7 linked regions of the Callithrix jacchus genome follow. The protein of the gene in region 4 binds, or shares a complex with, the protein of the main gene of each other region. Links are inferred from orthologs where the notes say so. Each region holds a gene or a part of one and is shown on either strand. Other genes may lie near its edges. The genes, in order: PIN1, NOTCH4, WWTR1, SFN, SHROOM3, AMOT and SNAI1.

Region 1 (3,500 bases), on a different chromosome or scaffold from region 4:
TTTTTGAGACAAAGTCTCACTCTATCACCCAGGCTAGAGTGCAGTGGCATGATCTTGGCCCACTGTAGCCTCTGCCTTTTAGATTCAGGCGATTCTCCTGCCTCAGCTTCTCAAATAGCTGGGATTACAGGCATACATCACCATACCCGGCTAACGTTTGTTTGTTTGTTTGAGATGCGGAGTTTCCCTCTTTTTGCCCAGGCTGGAGCGCAGTGACACAATATCAGCTCACTGCAACTTCTGCCTCCTGAGTTGAAGCAATTCTCCTGCTTCAGCCTCCCAGTAGCTGGGATTACAGGCGCCTGCCACCATGCCTGGCTGATTTTTTTGTATTTTTAGTGGAGACAGGGTTTCACTTTCTTGGCTAGGCTGGTCTCAAACTCCTGACCTCAGATGATTAACCCGCCTCAGCCTCCCAAAGTGCTGGTACAGGTAAAAGTCACTGTGCCCGGCCAATGTTTGTATTTTTAGTAGAGATGGGGTTACGCCATGTTGGCCAGGGAGGTCTCAATCTCCTGATCTCAGGTTATTCACCCCACTTTGGCCTCCCGAAGTGCTGGGATTACAGGCAAGAGCCATCGTACTTAGACCTTTTTAAAATGTTAAAACATTATTATTTAGTTATTTCAATGATCCTAAGGTAGGAACTGTTGTCTCCATTTGACAGGTGAGAAAACTGAGGCTCAGGGAAGGTAGATCACATTTGAACCCAGGTTCAGATTTGAACTCAGGCGGTCTGGCTGCTGAGTCCATGCTTGGAGTCACTCCCTCTCCCCTAGCTTCCTCTCTTCCATCACCCTGGGTTATTTTCCTCCTTGAGGTTGTCAGTGATTGAAATTATCCTGTGTTTCGTTTACTTGTTTAGTGCCTGTCTGCTCTTACCTAGAATGTTAACTCTAAGGGCAGTGACTATGTCCTGCCACACTGGCCCATAGCTGAAGAGCCTGTGGCACGTGGTGGACACGCCATGGATTTACTAAATGAAGGCACTACCCCAGGCCAGGCCCTTACCCTGGCTTCTGGCTGTGGGCCTAGGTAGTGTCCTGTGAGCACAGCCCCAGCTGAATTCCTGCCTGCCCTCCCCTCCAGGCCGAGTGTACTACTTCAACCACATCACTAACGCCAGCCAGTGGGAGCGGCCCAGTGGCAACAGCAGCAGTGGTGGCAAAAACGGGCAGGGGGAGCCCGCCAGGGTCCGCTGCTCACACCTGCTGGTGAAGCACAGCCAGTCAAGGCGGCCCTCGTCCTGGCGGCAGGAGAAGATCACCCGGACTAAGGAGGAGGCCCTGGAGCTTATCAACGGTGAGCAGGGCAAGGGCAGGGGCTTGGGAGGAGGTCTTGTTCCAGGTGGGCCTTTGTAGAAGTCACACCAGACCCTTCACCCCAGCTTGCTCAGCTACCAGGAGTGGTGTTGGCCAACACAAAAATGCCAGTACGTGACCCTGACCTTCACAGCAGCCGTTCTCTTTCCCTTCCATCTGGCATTTGAGGGTGAGCCAGGTAAGGGCAGAGGACCCAGCCTGGGGGCTGGCAGACCCCGGTTCAGGTAGTAGTGTGCCTCTGTGAATTCTATGACCTTTGAGGGGGGACTCATGTCACCTCCCCTAGACTTAACTTTCTCTGTAAAATGGGCATCTTCTGAGGACCACTGTGAAAGTTCCAGGGAATAAGGCAATGCATTTTGCACAGTGGACCCTCAGGCTGTGGGAACTGTTGTCAGTAGTAATATCCAATAGGGGACTGAGTCATATACGTAGATAGATCCAGAGAGAGCTGTCAGAAAGGTAGTGACTGCATACAGGGCGTGTGGCTCACGCCTGTAATCCCAGCACTTTGGGAGGTCTTGGAGGGCAGATCACCTGAGGTCAGGCCTGGCCAACATGGCAAAACCCCGTCTCTACTGAAAATATAAAAATGAGCTGGACGTCATTGTGCATGCCTATAATCCCAGCTGCTAGGGAGGCTAAGGCAGCTTCACTTGAAGCTGGGAGGTGGAGGTTGCAGTGAGCTGAGATTGCACCACTCCACTCCAGCCTGGGCAACAGTGAGACTCCATCTCAAAAAAGAAAGAAAGAAAAAAGAAGGGTAGTGAATGCCAGCAGAACTAGTGAGTTAATTCTGACCTAAGGAAGGAAGCTATTCCCTTCTCTGTTCTGTCTTTCTTCTGCAGTCTGGCACTGGGGTGGTAAACTTTGAAGGCCAGATGATAAATATTTTAGGTTTTGTGGGCCATGCAGTCTCTGTCAGTTCTGCTTTGTAACTGGATAGCAGCCATAACCAATATATAACCAAGCACATGGTCATGGCTGTGTGCCAAGAAAACTTTATTATTTACCAAATCAGGCAGGATTTGGCCTGCAGTCTGTCATTTGCAGAACCCTGTCTAAAGCTGTCCAGTTTGGCTGCCACTCCCCACATGTGCTATTTCTGTGTAAATTAATTAAAATAAAGTAGTATTACTGCTCAGATGCAGTGGTTCACACCTGTGATCCCAGCACTTTGGGAGGCCAATACAGGAGGATCACTTGAGCCTGAAAAATACAAAAATTATCTGGACGTGTTGGTACACACCTGTAGTACCAGCTACTCAGGAGACAGGTGAGAGGATTTCTTGAGCCCAGGAGGCAGAGATTGTAGCGAGCTGAGATCGTGCTATCCCGCTCCAGCCAGGGTGACAGAGCAACACCCTCTCTTAAATAAGAATATCAAAAACTGTTTCTCAGTTACACTGGTCATACTTTAGCTGCTGGCCGGCATCTTGGACAGCGGGAATATAAAACATTTCCATTCTTATTAGCTGGGCATGGTGGCGTGTGCCTGTAATCCCCGCTATTCAGGAGGCTGAGGCGGGAGAATTGCCTGAACCCAGGAGGCAGAGGTTGAGGTGAGCCGAGATCGAGCCATTGCACTCCAGCCTGGGTAACAAGAGCGAAACTCCGTCCCCCAAAAACAAACAAACAAAAAAACCAAAAAAATTTCCATTCTTGCAGCAAGTTGTGTCTGACAGCCTTTCTCAGAGTTTCCAGAACCCTCTTGGGCTGTCCCTGCTTCAAACAACCCGTCTCTCAACCATGTCCAGACAGCCTGGGTTCCTATGCAGCTCTGCCAGGTCCTGGCTATGGGATCTTGAGTAAGTTACTTAATATCTCTGGACCTCAATCTTTTTCTCCTTCTTTTGAGACAGGGTCATGCTCTGTCACCCAGGCTGGAGTGCAGTGATCATACCTCGCTGCAGCCTTGACATTCCTGGGGTCAGGTGATCCTCCCACTTCAGCCTTCCAAATAGCTGGGACTGTGGGCTCATAACACCACACCTCGCTAATTTATTTATTTTGTTTTTTTTTTTTGGACAGAGTCTGGCTCTGTCACCCAAGCTAGAGTGCTGTGGTACGATCTTGGCTCACTGCAACCTCCACCTCCCAGGTTCAAGCAATTATCCTGTCTTAGCCTCCTGAGTAGCTGGGATTACAGGCGCCCACCACCATGCCCAGCTAATTTTT
Region 2 (3,500 bases), on a different chromosome or scaffold from region 4:
GCTGCCCCGACTTAGCAACCAAAGCTCTAGAGGCCACAAAATATGGGGAATTCTCTCTAGAGTGAAGAAAAGAGTCAGGTTTTAGGGAGGTCCTGAGTCCCCCTCTCCTCACTCCACAGTCCAGCCTATGACCAGTACTGCCATGATCACTTCCACAACGGACACTGTGAGAAAGGCTGCAACACTGCAGCATGTGGCTGGGATGGAGGTGACTGCAGGCCAGAAGATGGGGACCCAGAGTGGGGGCCTTCCCTGGCCCTGCTGGTGGTGCTGAGCCCCCCAGCCCTAGACCAGCAACTGTTTGCCCTGGCCCGGAGGCTGTCCCTGACTCTGAGGGTGGGGCTCTGGGTAAGGAAGGATCGTGATGGCAGGGACATGGTGTACCCCTATCCTGGGGCCCGAGCTGAAGAGGCGCTAGGAGGAACTCGAGACCCCTCCAATCAGGAGAGAGCAGTCCCTCAAATGCAGCCCCTGGGCAAGGAGACCGATTCTCTCAGTGCTGGGTAAGAAGCTGGGTGGAGGGAAGGGCCAGACACCAGTTTTGATTAAGAGGGCAGAGGGAGGGATGGGAGCCAGGGACCAACACAGGGGTCTCTGAGGTGCCTGTCCTATAGGTTCGTGGTGGTAATGGGAGTGGATTTATCCCGCTGTGGCCCTGACCACCCGGCATCCCGCTGTCCCTGGGACCCTGGGCTTCTACTCCGCTTCCTTGCTGCGATGGCTGCAGTGGGAGCCCTGGAGCCCCTGCTGCCTGGACCCCTGCTGGCTGCCCACTCTCATGCAGGTACCAGTAGGTGACCCCTTGCCACCTTCTCTGACGTTTGTTCCCAGGCCAGCTCTCATGCTAGCAACAGGCAATGGAGGCTGAATGAAACAGGATAGCTGAGACTGAAAATGTTCTTTGTAGCCAGGTGCAGTTGTGCGTTCCTGTAGTCCCAGCTACTCGGGAGACTGAGGTTGGAGGATCTCTTGAGTCCGGGAGTTCTGGGCTGTAGTGCGCTAAGCTGATCGGGTGTCCACACTAAGTTTGGCATCAATATGGTGACCTCCCAGGAGCGGGGGGCCACCAGGTTGCCTAAGGAGGGGTGAACCGGCCCAGGTTGGAAACAGAGCAGGTCAAAATACCCGTGCTGATCAGTAGTGGGATCACGCCTGTGAATAGCCATTGCACTCCAGCCTGGGCAACATAGCGAGACCCCATCTCTAAAAAAATAAAAATAAAAGAAAGAAAATGTTCTTTGTAGGGACTTACGTTCCCTAACCTCACTTTCTCTAACTGAATCACCTGCTGTCCCATTTATTTTACAGTCTAAGTACATTATCCTAATCTCTGTTATAGCCCTCCAACAAAGGGCTGCTTTATCTTCTCTACCAGACTGGGAATATCTAATCGTCTTGGTATCAGATAACTCATACTACATGAAAGAATAATAGCTGTTATTATCATACTTATTCTGTGCCTTACTCCAAGCATTTTACATCGTTACCTCATTTAATCCTCCCCACAACCCCATTAGGGACATACTACTAGTTGAGTATCCCTTATCTGAAATGCTTAGGAGCAAAAGTGTTTCAGATTTGGGACTTGTTTATTTTGGAATATTTGCATTACAGTTACCAGTTCAGCATCCCTAATACAATATCCAGATGGACAATGAGCGTTTCCTTTGAGCGTCATGTTGGTGCTCTGAAAGTTTCAGACTTTGGAACATTTCAAATTTGGGATTGGGATTATGGATATTCAACCTGTTTTTCTGTGTGTTTGTTTGTTGAGACAGTTTCACTCTATCACCCACGCTGGAGAACAGTGACGCCATCTCGGCTCACTGCAACCTCCACCTCCTGGGTTTAAGTGATTCTCATGCCTCAGACTCCCAAGTAGCTGGAATTACAGGGGCATGCCACCACACCCTGCTAATTTTTCTTGTATTTTCAGTCTAGATAGGGTTTTGCCACTTTGGCCAGGCTAGTCTTGAACTCCTGGCCTCATACGACCCACCTACCTCAGCCCCCCCAAAGTGCTGGGATTACAGGCATGAGCCACTATGCCCAGCCTCAACCTATATTATCATCCCCATTTTGCAGATAAGGAAATCGAGGCAAAGACAGGCTACCAAACTTGTTAAAAGGTCTCCCAATAGTAATCAGTCTCACCAGGAGTGGCCTCTCTTTGTGACTCTGTCTCTTCCACCAGCGAACCCTGCCAACCAGCTTCCCTGGCCTGTGCTGTGCTCCCCAGTTGCTGGGGTGCTTCTCCTGGCCCTAGGGGCTCTTCTCGTCCTCCAGCTCATCCGGCGTCGACGCCGAGAGCATGGAGCTCTCTGGCTGCCCCCCGGGTTCACTCGACAGCCTCGGACTCAGTCAGCTCCCCACCGACGCCGGCCCCCACTCGGCGAGGACAGCATTGGTCTCAAGTGAGAATGAGGAGAAACCTAGGTTCAGGAAGGGGAGTCTCTCCTATGTCGAGATTTACAATCAGAAGAGCTAAGAAATACTACCGCGGAAGTCAAAAATAGGGGAAGGACACAGGGGTGGGAAGCCTGCTGGAAATCTTGGAGACCTTGATGGTCATAATTCCATGTAACTTCTACCCACCCATTCCCTTCCAGGGCGCTGAAGCCAGAGGCAGAAGTTGATGAGGATGGAGTTGTGATGTGCTCAGGCCCTGAAGAGGGAGAGGAGGTGGGCCAGGTGAAAGGGCTGGGGCAAGAATGGTCTGGAGGTGATGGAAGGGCAAATCAACCTTCACTGATCCTTGCTCTTACCCCAAGGCTGAAGAAACAGGCCCACCCTCCAAGTGCCAGCTCTGGCCGCTGAGTGGTGGCTGTGGGGAGCTCCCTCAGGCAGCCATGCTAACTCCTCCCCAGGAATCCGAGATGGAAGCCCCTGACCTGGACACCCGTGGACCTGGTATGTGAGTCAACCCAGACCAAGACAAAAAAAAAAAGGCCTTCGACCCTATTAGAATCAGAGTCCTTTAATATCAGAACTAGAGGAACTAATTTTAGACTGAGTGCTTTAGAACAGTGATTCTCAAAGTGTGGTCCTCAGACAGCTGAATCAGCATCACCTGGGGTCCACTATAGAGCTACTGACTCAGGAATTCAAGATGTTAGGCAATCTGCTTCAATAAGCTCTTCCGGTGAATCTGATCCAGACTCATTTAAGAAAACCAGTGCCCTGGAATGTCAGATAATTAAGCTGCAGGTTCCTTTTACAGAAGAAACTCAAGTCAGAGAAAAGTAGAAAAGTCACTTGATTAAAGCCTCATAAAGTGCCAGAACTTAGCTTCCTGGCACCTTAGGTTTTGATTCTCTCTGAGCTTCCATGATGTCCCCTCCCCCTTGTTGGGAACTTTAGATTGACCCGTGACTCATGTCTTGCCCACAGATGGGGTGACAACCCTGATGTCAGCAGTTTGCTGTGGCGAAGTAGAGTCCAGGACCTTCCAAGGGGCATGGTTGGGATGTCCTGAGCCCTGGGAACCTCTGCTGGACGGA
Region 3 (3,500 bases), on a different chromosome or scaffold from region 4:
ATTGGAGCACACCTCCAATTCCCCAGATAACAGGGGAAGTGGCTCACTTTGGTGGGTGTAGTTCTGTTTTGGGTAGGGATACAGCCATTCAAGGGAGTGGCCCCAAAATTCCACCTTTTCCAAGGCAAAACTATTAGTGGCCTTGTCCTTTCCTTAAACTTTCTCCTTCAAGGCAACTCCAGATTTTAACTTTGACTTTATTTTACCCTGTAAAAATATTAAGGCACAATACGTCAACTTACAGAACATGCAGTTCTGTTTTATTTAACAAGCACTTACGTAACCAGCTAGGTGCTATGCGAAGTGCTTTACATTGTCTTATTTGATTTTCTTTATAAACTATTTGAATCAGATGGGGTGGCGTAAGGGCTTCCTGCAATTTGGCTTACCTCGCCATTCCCCCCACGCCCCTGTCGCCCCGCACCTTTTCCCCTCAGTGGAGAGAGAACCAGAGAAAAGGAATTGAGCTGCTCTGAAGGGCAAGGCCTCCTCCCACTTCCCAGAGCTGTTTCACCAGGCTTGACCTTCTTCCCTTAGCTAGAGGCAAGGGGTCTCCACCCCTCGCCCAGATCTAGTCGGTGGGAAGGTGGGTGGCTTTTTCCAGGTCATTGGCGCACCCTCACTACTCCCAGCCACCTGCTCGGGTTCTATCCCTGCTCCAGGCTCCCTGGAGGGCGGCAGGGACATTCCAATCCTCCCACAACCCTCACGGATGTTGCGGGGGAGGGGGGCGCAATTGCTCTTCTCTTCCAGCACCCAGCTTTGACCCGATTTCTTCTCAATCCCTAGAGGCCTGAGTCACCCCCGTAGAGGAAATTAAGGATTGATGAATGGTTTGAAAGTTGTTTGTTTACGACGCAGCCGTTGGCGAAGCCGCATCTCCAGTGACAGAGGCACTTTCTGGGCACCGTCTGTGCTCTAGCAGACAATTGAGAGCCAAGCAGCCAAGATGCCTCCTCGCCAGACCAAATATGGTCACAAGAGCTAAGCAGCCTCCCGTGGAAAGGCTGGCCTTGTTGGTGTCTCCCCGCGCCGGGGCGCACCCAGGCCGGCCCTCGGGCAGAATCGCGGGTCAGTGCAGCGCTCCGGGTGCTGCCGGCCTCGGCGCCCGGCTACAGGGGAGCGCGCAGCGTCCAGGACCGGCCCTTCCCAGGCCTGAGCCCCTCGTCCGCGTGCCCTCCGCCACCCCCGGCCTTGGTTTCGGTCCACAACCCCTTGATGAAACAGGCTTGGGCCACTTTCCCTTTGATCCCGCCCCAAGTCCGTGGTAAACTCAAAGGAATGCAGATGTAGGGCTCCGCGGGAGAGGTCCGCGCAGTCGGGAGGAGTGGGTGGGGGGCACCCGTCTCCTCTTACCCAGTAAAGTACCCATCACGCCCAGGGTTTTCTGGAGCCGGGGTGGGAGGAGGAGGAGGAGGAAGAGGAGGGGCGAGCGGGGGCTTGCCGGCTGGGGACTAGGAGGTCATACATAATTCAATAGCTCAACTTTCGGGCCCGCCTCTTTCCTGGGGGTGGGAGTTTGCTCCAAACTTTGTTTATGGGACAGTCCGGGAGCTGCTGCGGCCGCGCTGTCTGCTTCTCCTGCGCCTCCTTCTCTCCGAGCGCAAGCGCCTGAGGCCAGCTCCGGGGATGTGAGAGCCGAAGCCCCTAGGCTGCCAGGCACCGAGTCTGGTCGGAATTTGTCAGCCTCGCCTCGGCTCCAGCTGCGCAAACTCGGGACTCACCCGAGCGACCCAGGCCCGACGGCAAGTTCGGGCGGGACGGCTGCCGCCGCGCGCTCAGGCTCAGCTTCGCTGCCCGCCCAGGTAGTGCCCGCTGGAGCTCGCGCGCTCTCCCAGCACCGCTCCAGGACTCCAGGCTCCTCGGGCTTCCGGAGTCGAGACGTCGTGGAGTTGGTTCGGGCTGAACTTCTTTCGGGGGGCTGCCTGTCCTGGAAAGCTGCGACCTTTGCTTTGCCATTCTGCGGCTCCGCAAGCCGCGAGTGCAGTTACTCCCTCCATCCCCCGCCCTTCCTTCTCCTCCAGGCAACTTCTTTGCTTCAAGAAAGTTGCATAATTCTCGAGGCCAGGAGGGACCCCTCCCCCATCCTGCTGGTCTTACCGCTGAGTGTCTGGGATCTCCAGGCGGGCAATTATCTGTCTCCTCGTTTCCTTTTCCTTCTATTCTTCCTCCCACCATCTCGCTCTCTCACCCCCTAACCCGCTTACCCACTTCCTCCGACTTTAAAGAAAAGGCTAATCTGACCTTCTTTTTGCAGAAGATGAATCCGGCCTCGGCGCCCCCTCCGCTCCCGCCGCCTGGGCAGCAAGTGATCCACGTCACGCAGGACCTAGACACAGACCTCGAAGCCCTCTTCAACTCTGTCATGAACCCGAAGCCTAGCTCGTGGCGGAAGAAAATCCTGCCGGAGTCCTTCTTCAAGGAGCCTGACTCGGGCTCGCACTCGCGCCAGTCCAGCACCGACTCGTCGGGAGGCCACCCGGGGCCTCGGCTGGCCGGCGGTGCCCAGCATGTCCGCTCGCACTCGTCGCCCGCGTCCCTGCAGCTGGGCACCGGCGCGGGCGCTCCGGCTAGCCCCGCGCAGCAGCACGCGCACCTCCGCCAGCAGTCCTACGACGTGACCGACGAGCTGCCGCTGCCCCCGGGCTGGGAGATGACCTTCACCGCCACTGGCCAGAGGTACTTCCTCAAGTAAGTCAGCCTGGATCCGAAGGGGACACCAAGTCACGGTGCCCAACGCACGCGAGTCTTCGTGTGTGTGTATGGGTGTGTGTGTGTGTGTGTGAGAGAGAGAGAGAGAGAGAGAGAAAGAGAGAGAGGGAGAGAGAGAGGGAGAGAGGGAGAGAGGGAGAGATGGTGCGTGTCCTTCACAGATATGGAGAGCTGGAAGCAAGGAATGAGTCTCTGGGTGTTGGAATTGTAAGGGATAAGAAGCAGAAGAGAGTGTGGTGAAGTTCATCCACCATAAAACACACAGGTGACTTTGCCCTGAATCTGCAGGTTGAAGCCGACTCCTATGCACAGACCCTTAGCCTTTTCCCTGGCCACTCTAAGTCAGATAGTCCAGAGCCAGGCCCTTTGGGCTGTGACACCAAGATAAATGAGAGAAAAGCTGCGAGGCTTGGGGAACAGAGGGACTCTTGGTGGAGTAGGTGGTCTGCAGTCTCTATCTTCTTGGGAAAAGCAAGCCGGAAAAGTGAACTGTGGCTGGTAGGCCTTACTGCTCCCAGCTGCATGACATAATGACCACACAGCACAGTGATGTAGTTGTGGGCTGGACAAATCAATTGTGTGGAAATTGTGTCAGGAGTTTTATCACATTAAACTTGTTAACCTTAGATATCATCAAATCACAAGCCTGCTTCGTCACTCTTCTTCCTTTCACATTGTTCCAGCTTGTTGATGTCATGAATTTTACATTAGGTTCAAATTTTCAAATTACACCCCACAGGAAGATATATTCTCAAACACTGGAGGAGATTGTTCCAATTGTGGTACCC
Region 4 (3,170 bases):
GCTTGAACTGGGAGGGGTGGAGGTTGCAGGGAGCCAAGATTTTGCCACCGCACTCCAGCCTGGGCGACAGAGCGAGACTCCTTCTCAAAAAAAAAGAGAAGGAACAGGGAAACTTCTGAGACAGGCTGGGGGAGGCATCACGTAGCTGGGATTGCTGCCCCATAAAACAGAATGATATGTGTCACTGCCACCTACCTTCCTCAGTCCTCTCCCTCCCCAGGTTGCTAGCGTCCCCCCTGGGGGATCAAACTGGACTGCTTCCCAGCCTCAGACAAGAGGGCAGTCTGAGTCAGGCAGGAAAGTGGGACAGCTGGGGAGCTGGACCCCACCCTCTGGAAGCCCCGCTGGTACCTGATGGCATATGGCTTGGAGAGGGCAGGTGACCTGGCATGGAGGGCCAGAGGGTAAGTCCTCAAACAAGTGGCAACAGGCCACCAACTTGAAAGGGAAAATTGTGTAGTGATGGGAAATGTGTTCAACAAACCTACTGGGTGACTAATTACAAAGGCTGGGCTGGAGCGTCAGAGGCTGCTTGTTAAACACTTTATTAAGTGGCACTCCGAAAGCTGCCACCTGTGCATTCTGGGAGCTCAGAGGGGACCCATCTGGGGGATGGAACTGTCTTCAGGTAGACTGAGGAAGCAGCCTGGATCTCATTTCCAAACACAGCCTGGAGCTCATAGGTCAGAGGCCTCATGGGAGAAAATCTAAAGGAGGTAGGGTGCAGAAAAGAGTTTCAGGGAATTGGTGGCTATGTGACTTTGAGCAAATCTCACCCCTCTCTGAAACTTAGTGTACCCATCTCTATGGTCCTGTGTATGTCACAGAGACATGGAGGGGATTAAAGTTGATCATGAATATAAAAGTGCTTGAGAAACTGTATAGCCCTACCTATACATGAATTATTCTCCCCTGAACCAAGCGGGGGAAGTTACCTCTCCGGATTAGGAACCCCATCCTCCTGAACCTTTATGAGCTCTATCAAGGCTGAAGCAGCCAGGGGCTAAAGCCATCCTTAGCCCCTGGAAGGGCACTGTGAAAGAGGATCTGATATGAGAAGCCAGGCAGCTTCCTGATGTGGGCAGTCATGTAATGCCAGTCCTGAACAAGAGGGGGCAGCGTGGAGCCCAGAAAGGCACCTGTGCAGGTGGGGCCAACGCCCAGATTTCTCCTGCTGACTGTCCTGATGACTCACTCCCACATCCCAACCCTTTTACCTTTCATGCAGAGCCGGAAAGGGTGTGGGGAGGAGAGGAGAGGGAGGCAGGTCTTGGGCCCTGGTCCTGCCCCCTGCTCCTCCCCACCCTTCTCAGGGCCTGGCCACCCAGCCAAAAGGCAGGCCGAAAGCAGGAGAGGCACAGAGTCCGGGATTGGTCCCAGGCAGCAGTTACCCGCCGCCCTCCTGTCTGTTCCCAGAGCCATGGAGAGAGCCAGTCTGATCCAGAAGGCCAAGCTGGCAGAGCAGGCCGAACGCTATGAGGACATGGCAGCCTTCATGAAGGGCGCCGTGGAGAAGGGCGAGGAGCTCTCCTGCGAAGAGCGAAACCTGCTCTCTGTGGCCTACAAGAACGTGGTGGGTGGCCAGAGGGCTGCCTGGAGGGTCCTGTCCAGCATTGAGCAGAAAAGCAATGAGGAGGGCTCGGAGGAGAAGGGCCCCGAGGTGCATGAGTACCGAGAGAAGGTGGAGACTGAGCTCCGGGGCGTGTGCGACACTGTGCTGGGCCTGCTGGACAGACACCTCATCCAGGAGTCTGGGGACGCCGAGAGCCGGGTCTTCTACCTGAAGATGAAGGGCGACTACTACCGCTACCTGGCTGAGGTGGCCACCGGTGACGACAAGAAGCGCATCATTGACTCGGCCCGGTCAGCCTACCAGGAGGCCATGGACATCAGCAAGAAGGAGATGCCGCCCACCAACCCCATCCGCCTGGGCCTGGCCCTGAACTTTTCCGTCTTCCACTACGAGATCGCCAACAGCCCCGAGGAGGCCATCTCGCTGGCCAAGACCACCTTCGACGAGGCCATGGCTGATCTGCACACCCTCAGCGAGGACTCCTACAAAGACAGCACCCTCATCATGCAGCTGCTGCGAGACAACCTGACCCTGTGGACGGCTGACAACGCCGGGGAAGAGGGGGGCGAGGCGCCCCAGGAGCCCCAGAGCTGAGTGTTGCCCGCCACCAGCCGGCCCTGCCCTGCCCCCTCCAGTACCCCACCCTGCCAAGAGGACTAGTATGGGGTGAGAGGCCCCACCCTTCTCCCCCAGGCGCTGTTCTTGCTCCAAAAGGTTCCATGGAAAGGGACTGGCAGAGCCGAGGCCACCTGGGGCTGGGGATCCCACTCTTCTCGCAGCTGTTGAGCACACCTAATCACTGGTCATGCCCCACCCCTGCTCTCTGCACCCGCTTCCTGCCGACCCCACGACCAGGCTACTTCTCCCCGATCTTGCCTCCCTCCTGCCCCTGCTGCCTGATGTTAGGAATTGAGGAGTAAGTGTCCCGCCTTGTGCCTGAGAACTGCACAGTGGTAGGGGCTAGAGATTGTGTGTGTGTGTGTGTGTGTGTGTGTGTGTGTGTGCGTGCGCTTGCCAGTGCAAGATCGAGATTGAGGGAAAGCATGTCGGCTGGGTGTGATCATGTTTCCTCTCAATAAAGTTCCCCTGTAACACTCCTCCTGTCTCTTCCAGTTCTTGGCGATGGGCTGGGAGTGGGACTGGAATCTGATTTAGAGACCCTGAACTTGGACCTGAGTTAGGACCCTGACCTCCCTGGGTGCTCAGTGACCCGCACGCAAGACTTTGAGTCCAGGTGAGGCCGGGGTCCAGCTCTGTCCTTCAGGGAGGCCCCACACTGGACGGGCCCGGAAGGGGCCGGTGAACCCACAGGAGGCGCCAAGGCTCCTCTGCCGGGCTGAGGGGAGGTGAGTGGGAGCCGCGAGGTTGACGAGCTCAGGTGGGGCGGGGCAGGAAACAGTGAAGTCTCCGGCGTGAGATCTAAGGACAGCGCCGCAGTAGCGAGCGGCACTGAGCACCCGATTTGCAAGCAGGTCACAGTCTCATCACGGGCTCCGATCTCAGCGGAGGGGAATACCATCTGAGTGAGGCAGAGGTATAGCGCAACCCTAAAACCCCAGATCTCAGGAGAGAGTCGTGTCCCACAGAGTTCGGAGAT
Region 5 (2,611 bases), on a different chromosome or scaffold from region 4:
GCAGTGGTGGAAGTGGGAATCCTTGTCTGTTTCAGTTCTCAGGGGGAATGCTTTCATCTTTTCCCTGTTCAATATAATGTTGTCTGTGGGTTTGTCTCCTTACTTTGCCTAAAATGTGTGAATGGTTAAGTATAATTTTTTTTTTAATTTAAAAATGTTATGTGTTACCATGTTGGATAGAAAACCACATTAAAGATAATATATGCTACAATATCATAGAAAAGTTTTAGAAACTCTTAGAACATAACATTGCCATCATTGTTGAACAGAATTTCTCTCATTTTATATTCAGAGGCCTGCAAAAGAGAACTGAAAAAGTGGAAACTGACTTCTCTGGAGATGGGAAATATGATGATCCCCTTGTTATTATGGATTAGGGAGAGGTTCTCAAACTTTAGCCACAAAAGAATCATCTGGAAGGCTTGTTAAAACAGGTTTCTGGGCCTCATCTCCAGAGTTTTTGATTCAGGAGGTGGAAGAGGGCATTTTGGGTGATGCCACTGCTGGTCCAGCAACCACACCTTGAGAACCACTGTATTAGTGTAGTCCTCAAGGTACCTTGATGATGATTTTTGAGACAGAGTCTCACTCTGTCACCCAGGCTGGAGTGCAGTGGCACAATCTCCACTCAACTGCAACCTCTGCCTCCCGGGTTCAAGTGATTTTCATGCCCCAGTCTCTTGAGGAGCTGGTATAATAGGCATGCATGACCACACTCAGCTAATTTTTGTATTTTTAGTAGAGACGGGGTTTCCTCATGTTGGTCAGGATGGTTTTGAACTCCTGTCCTCAAGTGATCCACCTGTTCTTGGCCTCCCAAAGTCACCATGCCCAGCTGATGATTGGTTTTTTAAGTCTAGAATCCAAAAGCAATTTTATTCCCAGCCAATTTAAAGTAATACTTCTCAAATTGAAGCTACCCTATGACATTACAAATTAGAGAATGCTGTAATATGCAATATAAAGATAATAAGCTGATTTTCAAACAGTTAGCCTCCTTAGAGTGACAATAGGAATCGAGCATAGATATTTCCCAGTCCTGTCAGAGGTGTCCTTGCAGGGAGTCTGGCTCTTTTCTCCTTTCCCCTGACCTTTGTTGATCTGTCCAATTTGCCCTGGCAGAGCTCTCTCTATGAGAAAAGGAAGATCCTTGCTGGGCAGCACGAGGATGCCCGGGAGCTGAAGGAGAACCTGGATCGCAGGGAGCGGGTGGTGCTGGGCATCCTGGCCAATTACCTTTCTGAGGAGCAGCTCCAGGACTACCAGCACTTCGTGAAAATGAAGTCCACACTCCTCATCGAGCAGCGGAAACTGGACGACAAGATCAAGCTGGGCCAGGAGCAGGTCAAGTGTCTGCTGGAGAGCCTGCCCTCGGATTTCATTCCCAAGGCCGGGGCCCTGGCTCTGCCCCCAGACCTCACGAGTGAGCCCACTCCTACCGGGAGCTGTACTTTCGGTGGTATTTTCCCAACATTACCCTCTCCACTTTAACCTCTTCTAAAATACCCAACCAAAAGATGACTGTTTCTATCAACACTATTTAATCTGAAAAATGTTTCAGTACAAACCACTGTTTGAACTATCTGGGTTATTGGTGTTTGTTCTGGATGAAAGGAAAAAAATTCTCTCCAGGAGGAAGCCTGTTTTTTCCTTCTTGCCCTTCCTGATTGATCTTCTGAGAGCTTGAATGCTGCTGGACACATACCCCTTTCTATTATTACTTTGTAGTAGAAAGTAAGTTAATGAAACAGAACTGATTGGAGGGTGTTTGATCATTTAGTCTTTAACAGGCTGAGGCAACATGGATCCGTGTGTGTCCCCCTCAGGAATGTATCCACAGTGGCCTTCCTTGCTGGTGGGCAGTGTATCCTGATGGCAGGGTACAAGTACCATTAATGAAGGGTCTGCAACATAAAGCCTTAAAAAGACACACACTAAGAAGAAATTGTAAAACCTTGAACATTGTTATTTATATTTTTTAAAATGGAAACGATCATTGTTTGTTGTGCTAACCACTTACTTGATTCTGTTTTGTGGTGGACGTAGATAATTACGTTTGAGCTTTGTATTTTGTGAAAACCTTAATGAAATGAATTCCAAAGATAGTCACATTGAGCGTGAAGACTTTTTTTCTTGCATTCCTGACTTGTCTTATTTTTACAAACATGAGCAGGTATTCTGCACTTCACTGGACAGTATGGGGGAGTCCTCCCCGGCTCTTCTCCTGTGTCACACCTTCCCCAGGAGGAAGGCCTTGTGTACCGTGGTTATTGCATCATTTCCTGGTGCTTCATGTCATTATCACTGGTGGGGAAACAAAGCTAAATTTTATTAACAAAGACAACTCTCAGACCTATGTAATAGGAAGAGGAAGTCCAGAATCCAAGCCAATTCAAAACAGAACCCATGCTGTTCTCCTGAACAAGATTTGGGCTAAATACAGCCTGTTTATTGAGGCTGTTGTTTAATGATGCTTTAAAAAAAAAAAAAAAGTTTTCCTACAATATCAAGCCTGTCAACCACACTTGATTAAAAACTCCCTCCTTAACCTCTGAAGACTGATTTTGCTTTATCGTGTTTCAATAATAACATCTCAGAAGTTACTTTGTAA
Region 6 (4,109 bases), on a different chromosome or scaffold from region 4:
GCAAAGGACAATTTCTACCAGACAGTCCCCAAGAATAGACTGTTCTCATGCATTCCAAATGCTCAGTCTCCATGGAGGAGGCTACCTGGTCGCAAGCATTTCCCAAGCGGGAATATATCCTCTATTCCTCCTCACTGGTAACAACTCCCCCACTCCACCCCCACGCCCCAAACAAAACAAAACTTCTAACCATCTTGAGAACCTCAGGGGACTTTTCTGAGGTAAAGGACAAGAAACGTTAAGAGGGGAACAGGAAAGTGTGAGAAACTCCTCTTGTCTCCAAATGGAAAAAAGGCCTTAAAAAGCTGGATCAAAGGAAGAAAGGGGGATGGGGAAGAAGGGCTGCTTAATTACAAAGACACCCTTTTAAAGAAGGCGCAGGCCCTGGGAGAGGGCTCTTAGGAGAGGCACAGAAGCAGATGTACCCACTTAGAATTCTGGCACTCAATGGGACCTCAAGGTCATAGTATCCATCCCCCTGCCTTCTGATTAGGCTATTCTTAAAGCATTCTAGAGTCTGATGTGGTCTTTACAAAACCTCAGAGAAAGCAACTCTACAAATGTCCTAGTTGGGAATTAGTCTAATAAATCCAACTTCATAAACTGGAAATGAGATTTTAATTTCTAAATCCAAAATTGAATTGACTATTAATTATTAAAATTCCCTTTCTAAAATCTTTTAAATAGCTAAACAGATCCACAAATTTCATGTAAAAGTGACTCCACATACAACGAGGTTTACTTCACATCTACACCATGAAGGTAGAAAAAAACACTTTCAATTTTACAAAGCCACAAACTTTTCCAAAGAAAGAAGTAATTTAAAATGAAGTATGATGTCGTGCCAGAAAGTGTCTGTCGATGACACCGGATAAACCCATACAGAATAGCTGGAACCTGAGTTATCATCTGTAAATAGATGCAACTATTCTACAACCACCTGGCTGTTAAAGTGTCCCAGGCCAGTTATAAAATGTAGTTTGGCTAGGCCAGCTTTTCCCTCCCAGCTGATCTGAAACAGGATAGCCTTTAAAACTGTCGCCATGTAACGTTCCTTCTCTACCTTCCTACCTTCCTTTCCCTCATTAAAATCAACCAAAGCTATTTTTAAATGTATGTAAATAATGTGTTCCCAAATAAGCAATGAGTTCAGGACATCACAGAAATAAGTCTTTGAACACCACGACTTACAAGTTTGATGCACTTGTCCAATTGAAGATAGGTGGGAGATGGATGAAAATGTATCCCACATCCAAAATGGCATTTCAAACTATTCTTAGCTACTAAATGAGGGTGCTGAAAGGTCTGAGAAGGCTTCACAAAGGCTGGCCTGAGAAAGAACTTTTCACAAAGCCTAGCTCAAGGAGACTTAAATACCCTTAGCCCTTCATCATTGAAGATTATGGTGACTAATTATCTTCCTCTCTGAATGGGAGAAGAGGGTTATATTCATAAAAGTTTTAAACTGCCTCCCAACTTCCACGGAGGGAGGAGAACTGAACTAAACATCCTAGGTTGTTGAAAAATTCTTTCTAAAACATACGCTAGAGATTGAAAATGCTGTTTCTCACCAACTTCCTCTTTCCTTGCTCATTTAATCTTATTTAGTCACTTTATGAACATTATTATATTATTATTAGTGGAAATTTACCAGGAACTGCTCATAGTCTATTATAAAGGCGTATTTTTACTCCCACTTTTCTTTCTCTTGATTTTCACATATCCACGAAGTCCATCTTACTGTTGAAGCACCAACGTACAGTGGCCCAGGCTTGGACCCTCAAGACACCTGCCTGATCCCCCAAAACTATTTACTAACATCTTTGGATCTTCTAAAGTAGATAGGGGCAATTCCCTCCTCATGACCACTATCACCACCACCACAAGCACCACCACCACCACACATTTCAAAAAGTAGCCTTATGTTTTAGATTACGCAGACTTTAAAACTTCAAGAATTCACGGTCCTACCCCTCCTTCTCCCGCCTCAGGGAGTGTGAGTCCACACCCCAAGCCTAAGCACTTAGGAGAAACCTATCTAGTTATCTGAGATAAGCACTGACTTGCATGCTAGGCTAAAAGTAGATTTCAGCTTCCCTCGGGTCTTTAGCTCCTCAATGTGATTAATTTCCTAGAGACCCAGAAGAACCCCAGGAGGCAAGGAAGTAAAAATACCATCTAGTAGTGGTACCCACTAGCATCTCCTCACTTAAGCAGGACGGGAAAGCAGCGCACACTCTAACCGATTTAACTTGCTGCACATCCTGAAAAACTCATGGCCAGCTGCAAAGACAGCAGAATACACGGGCATTCTCACACGCGCCTAGATCGATTCACTCACGCCGAGGGCACGACCAAGTTCATGCCACCATGGATTCCTGCCCCAGTTCCCCGCAAAAAGTAACCACACGTCTCCTACCCCTGAAGGCAACGAAGACAAGGTGACGACTCTCTGCTCGCTCAAGTGGCTTCGGTCCCGGGCCAGCGGCCAGGGATGGGCAGGGGGGAAGCCCCAACTCCTGGCTGCTCCCCTCTTCGCTGCTCCGTCCGGGCTCTCCTTGGTGGCAGTGGACAGGCAGGATACCGGGCCAGAGGGTGGAGCAGCGGATGGTCGGAGGCGAGATTGACTGGAGGTGGTGGTAGTTGGAGGGGGAGGCGGAGAGAACTAAGAGAAGAGGAGGCGAAAGAGAGCGGAGACGGAGGAGTAATTCAGGGGGTCTACCAGTTTAGGCAGCCAGAAAGCTCCTCGGAAGGAAGGGGCGTGACTGCCAAGGCAGCTCCTGGGCAAAGGATGGGAGGTAGGGGAGGGGGACGAACGGGTGGCTTTTCTTCTTGCGGTGAGCGGCTAGGACCGCCCCGGAGCGGCAGGGCGGGTGGACTGGGGAGGAAGGCGGAGTAGAGGGCGGGGAAAGAAGGGCGGGAGCTTGCCTGGACCCTGGAAGTGAGGAGCGAGGAGAGCGCGGAAGAGAGGCGGGGCCGGGGGGCGGGGAAGTTTCAAACAATTAAACCGCGGGGTCCGAGAGCTCGGGCGAAAGTTGGGGACCCTCGCTCTCGCCTTTCCACTAGAGGGGCACGACTCGGTTGCCGTAGCCGTGAGAGTCTGCGCGGGGACTGGCTGGGGAGAAGGAAAGGGTTTTGCAAAAGACTACAATAATAACCTACGGCAACAGCGCGGCATACTCGCGTGGGAGAGCCAGTGCAGCTCTCCGCCCCACAGCGGGAGGAAGAAAAGCAAATAATAGAAATGCTGAAAAGCAGCTTCCACCAAAGCCTGCTTAAAATAATGAAGGAAGGAGCAGTGCTCCTTCGTTTTCCTTCCCCTCTCGCTTCCTATTACTAGCAGGCCCCCACCCAGGTCACAGCTCTGCGAGACACCCTCCTTTCTTCCTCCGCTCCCCCACCCCGGGAGTTTCCCCCGCCTCCCGATGGCGGGCTGCAGAAGCTGCGGGGCGAGGGAGGAGGGGGTCGTGGGCGGGGCTCTGCAGAGGCTCCGCCCCTGGGCGGGCTGTTAGATGCGGCCTGGGCGGAGCGGGCCCCTGAAGCGTAAGTCCCGCCCACCATTCTTTTGCCGCTACTGGTTGGCCGGGCCTGGCCTAGTATACGTTTGCGATTGGGCCCGGGAGTCGCCAGTCTGATCCTTTTGTCCCACCAGTCCTCAAAATTAATAAAACTAAACAAGAGGCTATTGTGTAGCTCTATGTTCTACCCCAGCTACCGCTGGGAAGAGAAAGATGAGACGCTTTCTCAGTCTCATAAAAGAGTGCAGCAGTGTGTCGGCCGACTCTGGTACGCCTTTATGTTTATAGCACTGTCCAGCCCTCCACGAATAGGTAACTTTTCTTTCCCCTTAATTCATTAAATCCGGAGGGGGAAAAGTACATGAAGTGCCAGTGTGGCGTTCACATTTCCTGGCTGTGGAAGAAAAAAACTGATATTGGTTAAAAACAGAGGGTTGAGAACAGTATACTGGGACACGGAAAATCTACCATTTTACATCTGGGAAAACGAAGGCACAAAGAAACAGTGTAGGGGTAGCAAAATAACATAGAATTGAGAACCAAAAGAAGAATTCATTTGGGGCTCTGGCACTTACTAGCTAATTGTATGAC
Region 7 (4,114 bases), on a different chromosome or scaffold from region 4:
GTTGGTTGGGGGGAGGGTGCGTAAAGGTGTTCATGGTCTTCCTTCACAGATGGAAACAGGCATGGCGAGACCTGTGGGGTTTATTTCAGCACCACCCCTGGGCCTGGCATGCCTCCAGGGAAGCTGGGGTAGGGGTGCAGCTGCTCCTCACCTGGGCCCACCACACATACATTCAGTCAGGGTCCCTTAGGAGCCGTGAGAGCCTGTAGACAGGATGGGGATCTTCAAAGGGCTCAGGAGACACACCGGCCTCATCCCAACTCTTTGCCGGCCTACGGGGATCTTTTTCAAGGAAACTCTAACCAGGTACCTCCTCAGCTGAAAATCCTTCGGTGGCTCCCCAGTGCCCTTGAGGCAAAGTCCAGATTCCTCACATCTGACCCCTCCGGGCCTGCCCACCCCACCCCATCCCTGGGAGCTGCTCTCCAGGAGTTACTCGGAAGCAGTTGCCAGTTCTTCCCTCGGGCCTTTCCCCTTGATAATTCTTCACTTCCTCTGGGCAGTCACCCCGACCCCCTGTCAGGTGACCCGCCTCTTAACGGTCGCCGCGTCCCGTCTCTCCCCCACCAAAGCACACTTCCCTTTGCATTGTAATTGTCTGTTTACTTCAGCTGTCTCCCCCATTGGACGGGTAGCTAAACTTCGAGAGAGGCTCTGAGTGTCCTGTCCAGGGCTGTGCCCCGGCCCCAGGTACAGTGCCCCACACGTGCTGGACGCTCCGTAAACACTGGCTAAGGGAAGGAACGGGCGCACTTCGCTAGGCTGCTTTGCAAAAAAGCCATGGCATTTCATGCTGCCAAGAGCCACGTGTAGTGTCCGTTTCCTCGCATCCTCCCCAGCAATATGCATTTCCCTCCTCAATGCCACGCTCTCCAGGCGCCAGCCGGGCGGAGGAAATTTCCGCCCCCTCCCAAGCCCGAGGCGGGGGCGGGCTTCGGAAGGTCAGGTGTCCCGGCCCGCGCGCAGCGCCAGGGGGCGTCAGAAGCGCTCCGACCGTGGGGCGCTGAGCGGGTGGGTGCGAGGGGTCCCGCCTCGCAGGGGCCTAAATGCGCCCGATGTCCCGCCCCGGACAGCCCCAGCACTGGGAACGACCAGCGCTGCGCTCCCGAACCCCGCCTTGCAGGAGCCTCCGCCCGGGCTCCCAGCGCCACGCGGCGCGAGCCGGGTCCGCCCCCGGCGCACCTGCTCGAGGCGTGGCCTTCGGCGGAGACGTGCCTCCGATTGGTGCTGAGGTGACAAAGGGGCGAGGCAGATAAGACCCCTCCCCTGCCGCCCCCTGGAGTATTTAAGGGAGTTGGCGGCGCGGGTGCACTCATTGCGCCGCGGCACGGCCTAAGCGGTGGTTCTCCTGCGCTACTTCTGAGCGACTCGGCGACCCCGGTGCGTTGGCCACCATGCCGCGCTCTTTTCTTGTCAGGAAGCCCTCCGACCCCAATCGGAAGCCTAACTACAGCGAGCTGCAGGACTCTAATCCAGGTGCGTTGGAGGGGTCCCGGGCTCCAGGAGATTTGGGGGAGACAGGCGAAGGCTGCGTGGGGGGCACCTGAAGGAGGCGGCCTGCTTGGGCCAGGATCGATTCGCAGGATGTTTTGTGGAGCATTGAGGGCTCGGGCTCGGGAGACCGGGCAGGTAGGTCTCCAGTCCCAGGGATCTATCTGAGTGGTTTGGGGGGTGCCGTGTAGCGGGCAGGGGTCTTGCGCTTGGGGGGCCTTTGTAGCCTGCGAGAGGCGCAGGAGCTCCCGAGGGGAAGGAGGCCTGTGCCAGGAGGGCCCGCCGGACGCTGCTGGGGAGAGTCCGGAGTCCAGAGTGTTGAGGAGAGGGGTGGAGAGACCAGATGTGTGTGAGGAGGGGGACTGGGGTGGAGTGGTGGCTCGGGGGCTGGGGTAATGGGCTTCTGGCTTCAGGCTGGGGACTTGGGACTCAGGAGACCGAGATCTGGAAATGACCCTCTTCAACTGGGGGTCCTACCTGTGAGAGACTCAGGTTGGGTGACCTGGGCGAGGAGGGCAGGAATTTGGTCTGCCCTATGGATAATTTTATTGATCTAATTATGTGTTGAGAGTCAGCCTCACCCAGCCCCTGGCCAGCGGTGGGCTCTAGTTTGTTGATTGAGTGAATGATTTAATTAACGCCTGACTCTGCTCTTTCTCCCTCAGAGTTTACTTTCCAGCAGCCCTATGACCAGGCCCACCTGCTGGCAGCCATCCCACCTCCGGAGATCCTCAACCCCACGGCCTCGCTGCCAACGCTCATCTGGGACTCTGTCCTGGCCCCCCAAGCCCAGCCAACTGCCTGGGCCTCCCTTCGGGCCCAGGAGAGCCCCAGGGCGGCAGAGCTGACCTCCCTGTCAGATGAGGACAGCGGGAAAGGCTCCCAGCCCCCCAGCCCACCCTCACCGGCTTCTTCGTCCTTCTCTTCCACTTCGGCCTCTTCCTTGGAGGCCGAGGCCTATGCTGTCTTCCCAGGCTTGGTCCAAGTGCCCAAGCAGCTGGCCCAGCTCTCTGAGGCCAAGGATCTCCAGTCTCGAAAGGCCTTCAACTGCAAATACTGCAACAAGGAATACCTCAGCCTGGGTGCCCTGAAGATGCACATCCGAAGCCACACGCTGCCCTGCGTCTGTGGCACCTGTGGGAAGGCCTTCTCTAGGCCCTGGCTGCTGCAAGGCCACGTCCGGACCCACACTGGTAAGTGCCCCTCCTGGCCCGCCCCACTGCTTTCTCTGCCAGCTTTTGTGAATCTGGGCTTACTTTTCTCATTCTCAAAGTTGTAGACACGGAGGCCCCGAGTCTCCTAACTTCTAACTCAAGTTCAGGGGCCCGGCTCTCTGGAAACGTTTGGCAGAAATGTTCCTTCATCAGCTAAGCAGATGGGCAAAGCAGACACCTTTCCAATCCCCTGCAGCCAGCTTCTCAGCCAAATGGGTAGGAGCTGGATATGGGAAAGGTGCCACCAGCACCTTGTGGTGGTGGCCAGGTGCGAAGGGGTCCGCCTGGCCCCACCCTCTCCTGATCCACCCCTCCCTAGCCAGACAGGATGTTGTCAGACCCCCCCCCCACCTGGCTCTGAATCCTGCTTTGAGAACTTTCTCAAAGCTTGGTCTGATGTTTCACTTCTGTGAGCCTCATTTTCCCTATCTTTCAGATGGGCATGAGAACAGCCTATGGGGTTTCTATGCAGGCTAAATGCAGGAATGCGTATGGGAAGCACCTGGCAAAGTGCCTGGTACCTGCTAAATGCTCACAAAAATGCTTCCTTGCCGTTTGCTCGGCTTCCCTGCTGTGTGACTTTGGGCAAGCAACTTAACCTCTCTGAGCCTCAGGGGAGGATTATGATAGGTAAGTTTTAGAGAGTGACTGTGAAGGTTGATAATCACTTTATGCTAATCACTTTGCAGTAATTTATCATACCTGGTGGTTCTCTGGTCTGCTTCCCCACCCCCACTCAGTCCTATCTGGCAGACCAGGAAAGGCATCTTTGGGGCAGACAGCGCAATCATGTCTTGGTGTCTTGAAAATTTACTAAATGCGTAGGAAACTTTCTGGACGTGGAGAAAAGGTAGAACTTTTTAGAACTTGAATGGTGGTGACCACCATGCCCAGAGCTGCTCTGGAGAGTGACGGTTGAGAGAGGAGATTCCAGGGGTTCACCCCGGGCAGGTTCTGCCATTTCCTGACCCAGCACCTGACCTCGGAGTGGTGAGGGTCAGTGCGGTGTCTGGAAGGCCTGGCCTTTTGCAGGCTTTATTGGCATCTTACTCAACTAAGGCTACCCATTTCTCTTCCTTTGTGCACCCTTAGCCCTGATTTTAACATGTAAAGGTCCAACTGCCTGGCCTTCTGGGTGCCTGCCTAGCTCACAGGGCTCTATTTTGGGAGCGTTGAACCCCTCAGGGTGCTGCTCTGCTGTCCCCCCTCCCTTGCCCCCAATCCGGCATTATTTTAATGTAAAGGCACGGCTGGGACACAGAAATGTATCACTGCTGTCCTCATTGACTCCCATTGTGTGCCTTAATGGTGGGCCCAGTGGGTGGGGGCTGGGAGGAGCAGAGCAGGTGCATGGGGCAGCGGTGCCCAGCACCTGTTCCAGTCGCAGCTGCTGGCCCAGTGCATGGCAG

The links.
Region 1: the proteins of SFN (region 4) and PIN1 are in contact, whole or in part, in a crystal structure (PDB 7AOG), measured with the Homo sapiens proteins. The link is inferred for Callithrix jacchus from reciprocal best matches to the Homo sapiens genes SFN and PIN1. Residues at the interface, in NP_006133.1 of Homo sapiens: Tyr19, Lys49, Asn50, Arg56, Arg60, Lys122, Asp126, Arg129, Tyr130, Pro167, Gly171, Leu174, Asn175, Val178, Glu182, Ile219, Leu222, Asn226, Leu229, Trp230; in NP_006212.1 of Homo sapiens: Arg68, Arg69, Pro70, Ser71, Ser72, Trp73, Arg74, Glu76.
Region 2: the proteins of SFN (region 4) and NOTCH4 are in contact, whole or in part, in a crystal structure (PDB 7OR3), measured with the Homo sapiens proteins. The link is inferred for Callithrix jacchus from reciprocal best matches to the Homo sapiens genes SFN and NOTCH4. Residues at the interface, in NP_006133.1 of Homo sapiens: Lys49, Arg56, Arg60, Lys122, Arg129, Tyr130, Glu133, Gly171, Leu174, Asn175, Val178, Glu182, Leu218, Gln221, Leu222, Asp225, Asn226, Leu229, Trp230; in NP_004548.3 of Homo sapiens: Arg1914, Arg1915, Phe1916, Ser1917, Ala1918, Gly1919, Arg1921.
Region 3: the proteins of SFN (region 4) and WWTR1 are in contact, whole or in part, in a crystal structure (PDB 8R0Z), measured with the Homo sapiens proteins. The link is inferred for Callithrix jacchus from reciprocal best matches to the Homo sapiens genes SFN and WWTR1. Residues at the interface, in NP_006133.1 of Homo sapiens: Cys38, Asn42, Ser45, Val46, Lys49, Arg56, Arg60, Phe119, Lys122, Arg129, Tyr130, Pro167, Ile168, Gly171, Leu174, Asn175, Val178, Tyr181, Glu182, Asp215, Leu218, Ile219, Leu222, Asp225, Asn226, Leu229, Trp230; in NP_001161750.1 of Homo sapiens: Arg86, Ser87, His88, Ser89, Ser90, Pro91, Ala92, Ser93, Leu94, Gln95.
Region 5: the proteins of SFN (region 4) and SHROOM3 are in contact, whole or in part, in a crystal structure (PDB 6FCP), measured with the Homo sapiens proteins. The link is inferred for Callithrix jacchus from reciprocal best matches to the Homo sapiens genes SFN and SHROOM3. Residues at the interface, in NP_006133.1 of Homo sapiens: Ser45, Val46, Lys49, Asn50, Arg56, Lys122, Arg129, Tyr130, Gly171, Leu174, Asn175, Val178, Tyr181, Glu182, Leu222, Asp225, Asn226, Leu229, Trp230; in NP_065910.3 of Homo sapiens: Arg1239, Ser1240, Arg1241, Ser1242, Ser1243, Ala1245, Thr1246.
Region 6: the proteins of SFN (region 4) and AMOT are in contact, whole or in part, in a crystal structure (PDB 7NPB), measured with the Homo sapiens proteins. The link is inferred for Callithrix jacchus from reciprocal best matches to the Homo sapiens genes SFN and AMOT. Residues at the interface, in NP_006133.1 of Homo sapiens: Val46, Lys49, Asn50, Arg56, Arg60, Lys122, Arg129, Tyr130, Gly171, Leu174, Asn175, Val178, Tyr181, Glu182, Asp215, Leu222, Asp225, Asn226, Leu229, Trp230; in NP_001106962.1 of Homo sapiens: Val171, Arg172, Ser173, Leu174, Ser175, Glu176, Arg177, Leu178, Met179.
Region 7: the proteins of SFN (region 4) and SNAI1 are in contact, whole or in part, in a crystal structure (PDB 4QLI), measured with the Homo sapiens proteins. The link is inferred for Callithrix jacchus from reciprocal best matches to the Homo sapiens genes SFN and SNAI1. Residues at the interface, in NP_006133.1 of Homo sapiens: Ser45, Lys49, Asn50, Arg56, Lys122, Asp126, Arg129, Tyr130, Leu174, Val178, Glu182, Ile219, Leu222, Asp225, Asn226, Leu229, Trp230; in NP_005976.2 of Homo sapiens: Ser175, His176, Thr177, Leu178, Pro179, Cys180.

Annotation. Positions count from the first base shown.
Region 1 is NC_133523.1:9,032,967-9,036,466, forward strand, and holds part of PIN1 (peptidyl-prolyl cis-trans isomerase NIMA-interacting 1), read left to right. Parts: intron 1-1,089; coding exon 1,090-1,302; intron 1,303-3,500. UniProt on the Homo sapiens protein: Peptidyl-prolyl cis/trans isomerase (PPIase) that binds to and isomerizes specific phosphorylated Ser/Thr-Pro (pSer/Thr-Pro) motifs.
Region 2 is NC_133505.1:39,684,691-39,688,190, reverse strand, and holds part of NOTCH4 (neurogenic locus notch homolog protein 4), read left to right. Parts: intron 1-119; coding exon 120-503; intron 504-614; coding exon 615-784; intron 785-2,194; coding exon 2,195-2,414; intron 2,415-2,609; coding exon 2,610-2,691; intron 2,692-2,771; coding exon 2,772-2,910; intron 2,911-3,390; coding exon 3,391-3,500. UniProt on the Homo sapiens protein: Functions as a receptor for membrane-bound ligands Jagged1, Jagged2 and Delta1 to regulate cell-fate determination.
Region 3 is NC_133518.1:35,618,970-35,622,469, forward strand, and holds part of WWTR1 (WW domain-containing transcription regulator protein 1), read left to right. Parts: intron 1-1,015; exon of another isoform or gene 1,016-1,267; intron 1,268-1,434; exon of another isoform or gene 1,435-1,461; intron 1,462-1,544; exon of another isoform or gene 1,545-1,895; intron 1,896-2,107; exon of another isoform or gene 2,108-2,108; intron 2,109-2,257; coding exon 2,258-2,691; intron 2,692-3,500. UniProt on the Homo sapiens protein: Transcriptional coactivator which acts as a downstream regulatory target in the Hippo signaling pathway that plays a pivotal role in organ size control and tumor suppression by restricting proliferation and promoting apoptosis.
Region 4 is NC_133508.1:63,511,781-63,514,950, forward strand, and holds SFN (14-3-3 protein sigma), read left to right. Parts: upstream 1-1,357; 5' UTR 1,358-1,420; coding exon 1,421-2,167; 3' UTR 2,168-2,670; downstream 2,671-3,170. UniProt on the Homo sapiens protein: Adapter protein implicated in the regulation of a large spectrum of both general and specialized signaling pathways. Binds to a large number of partners, usually by recognition of a phosphoserine or phosphothreonine motif.
Region 5 is NC_133504.1:121,266,144-121,268,754, reverse strand, and holds the end of SHROOM3 (protein Shroom3), read left to right. Parts: intron 1-1,122; coding exon 1,123-1,491; 3' UTR 1,492-2,111; downstream 2,112-2,611. UniProt on the Homo sapiens protein: Controls cell shape changes in the neuroepithelium during neural tube closure. Induces apical constriction in epithelial cells by promoting the apical accumulation of F-actin and myosin II, and probably by bundling stress fibers.
Region 6 is NC_133524.1:109,163,941-109,168,049, forward strand, and holds the start of AMOT (angiomotin), read right to left. Parts: upstream 2,801-4,109; 5' UTR 2,420-2,800; intron 1,321-2,419; exon of another isoform or gene 1,192-1,320; intron 1-1,191.
Region 7 is NC_133506.1:45,525,252-45,529,365, forward strand, and holds the start of SNAI1 (zinc finger protein SNAI1), read left to right. Parts: upstream 1-1,314; 5' UTR 1,315-1,394; coding exon 1,395-1,476; intron 1,477-2,156; coding exon 2,157-2,684; intron 2,685-2,764; exon of another isoform or gene 2,765-3,335; intron 3,336-4,114. UniProt on the Homo sapiens protein: Involved in induction of the epithelial to mesenchymal transition (EMT), formation and maintenance of embryonic mesoderm, growth arrest, survival and cell migration.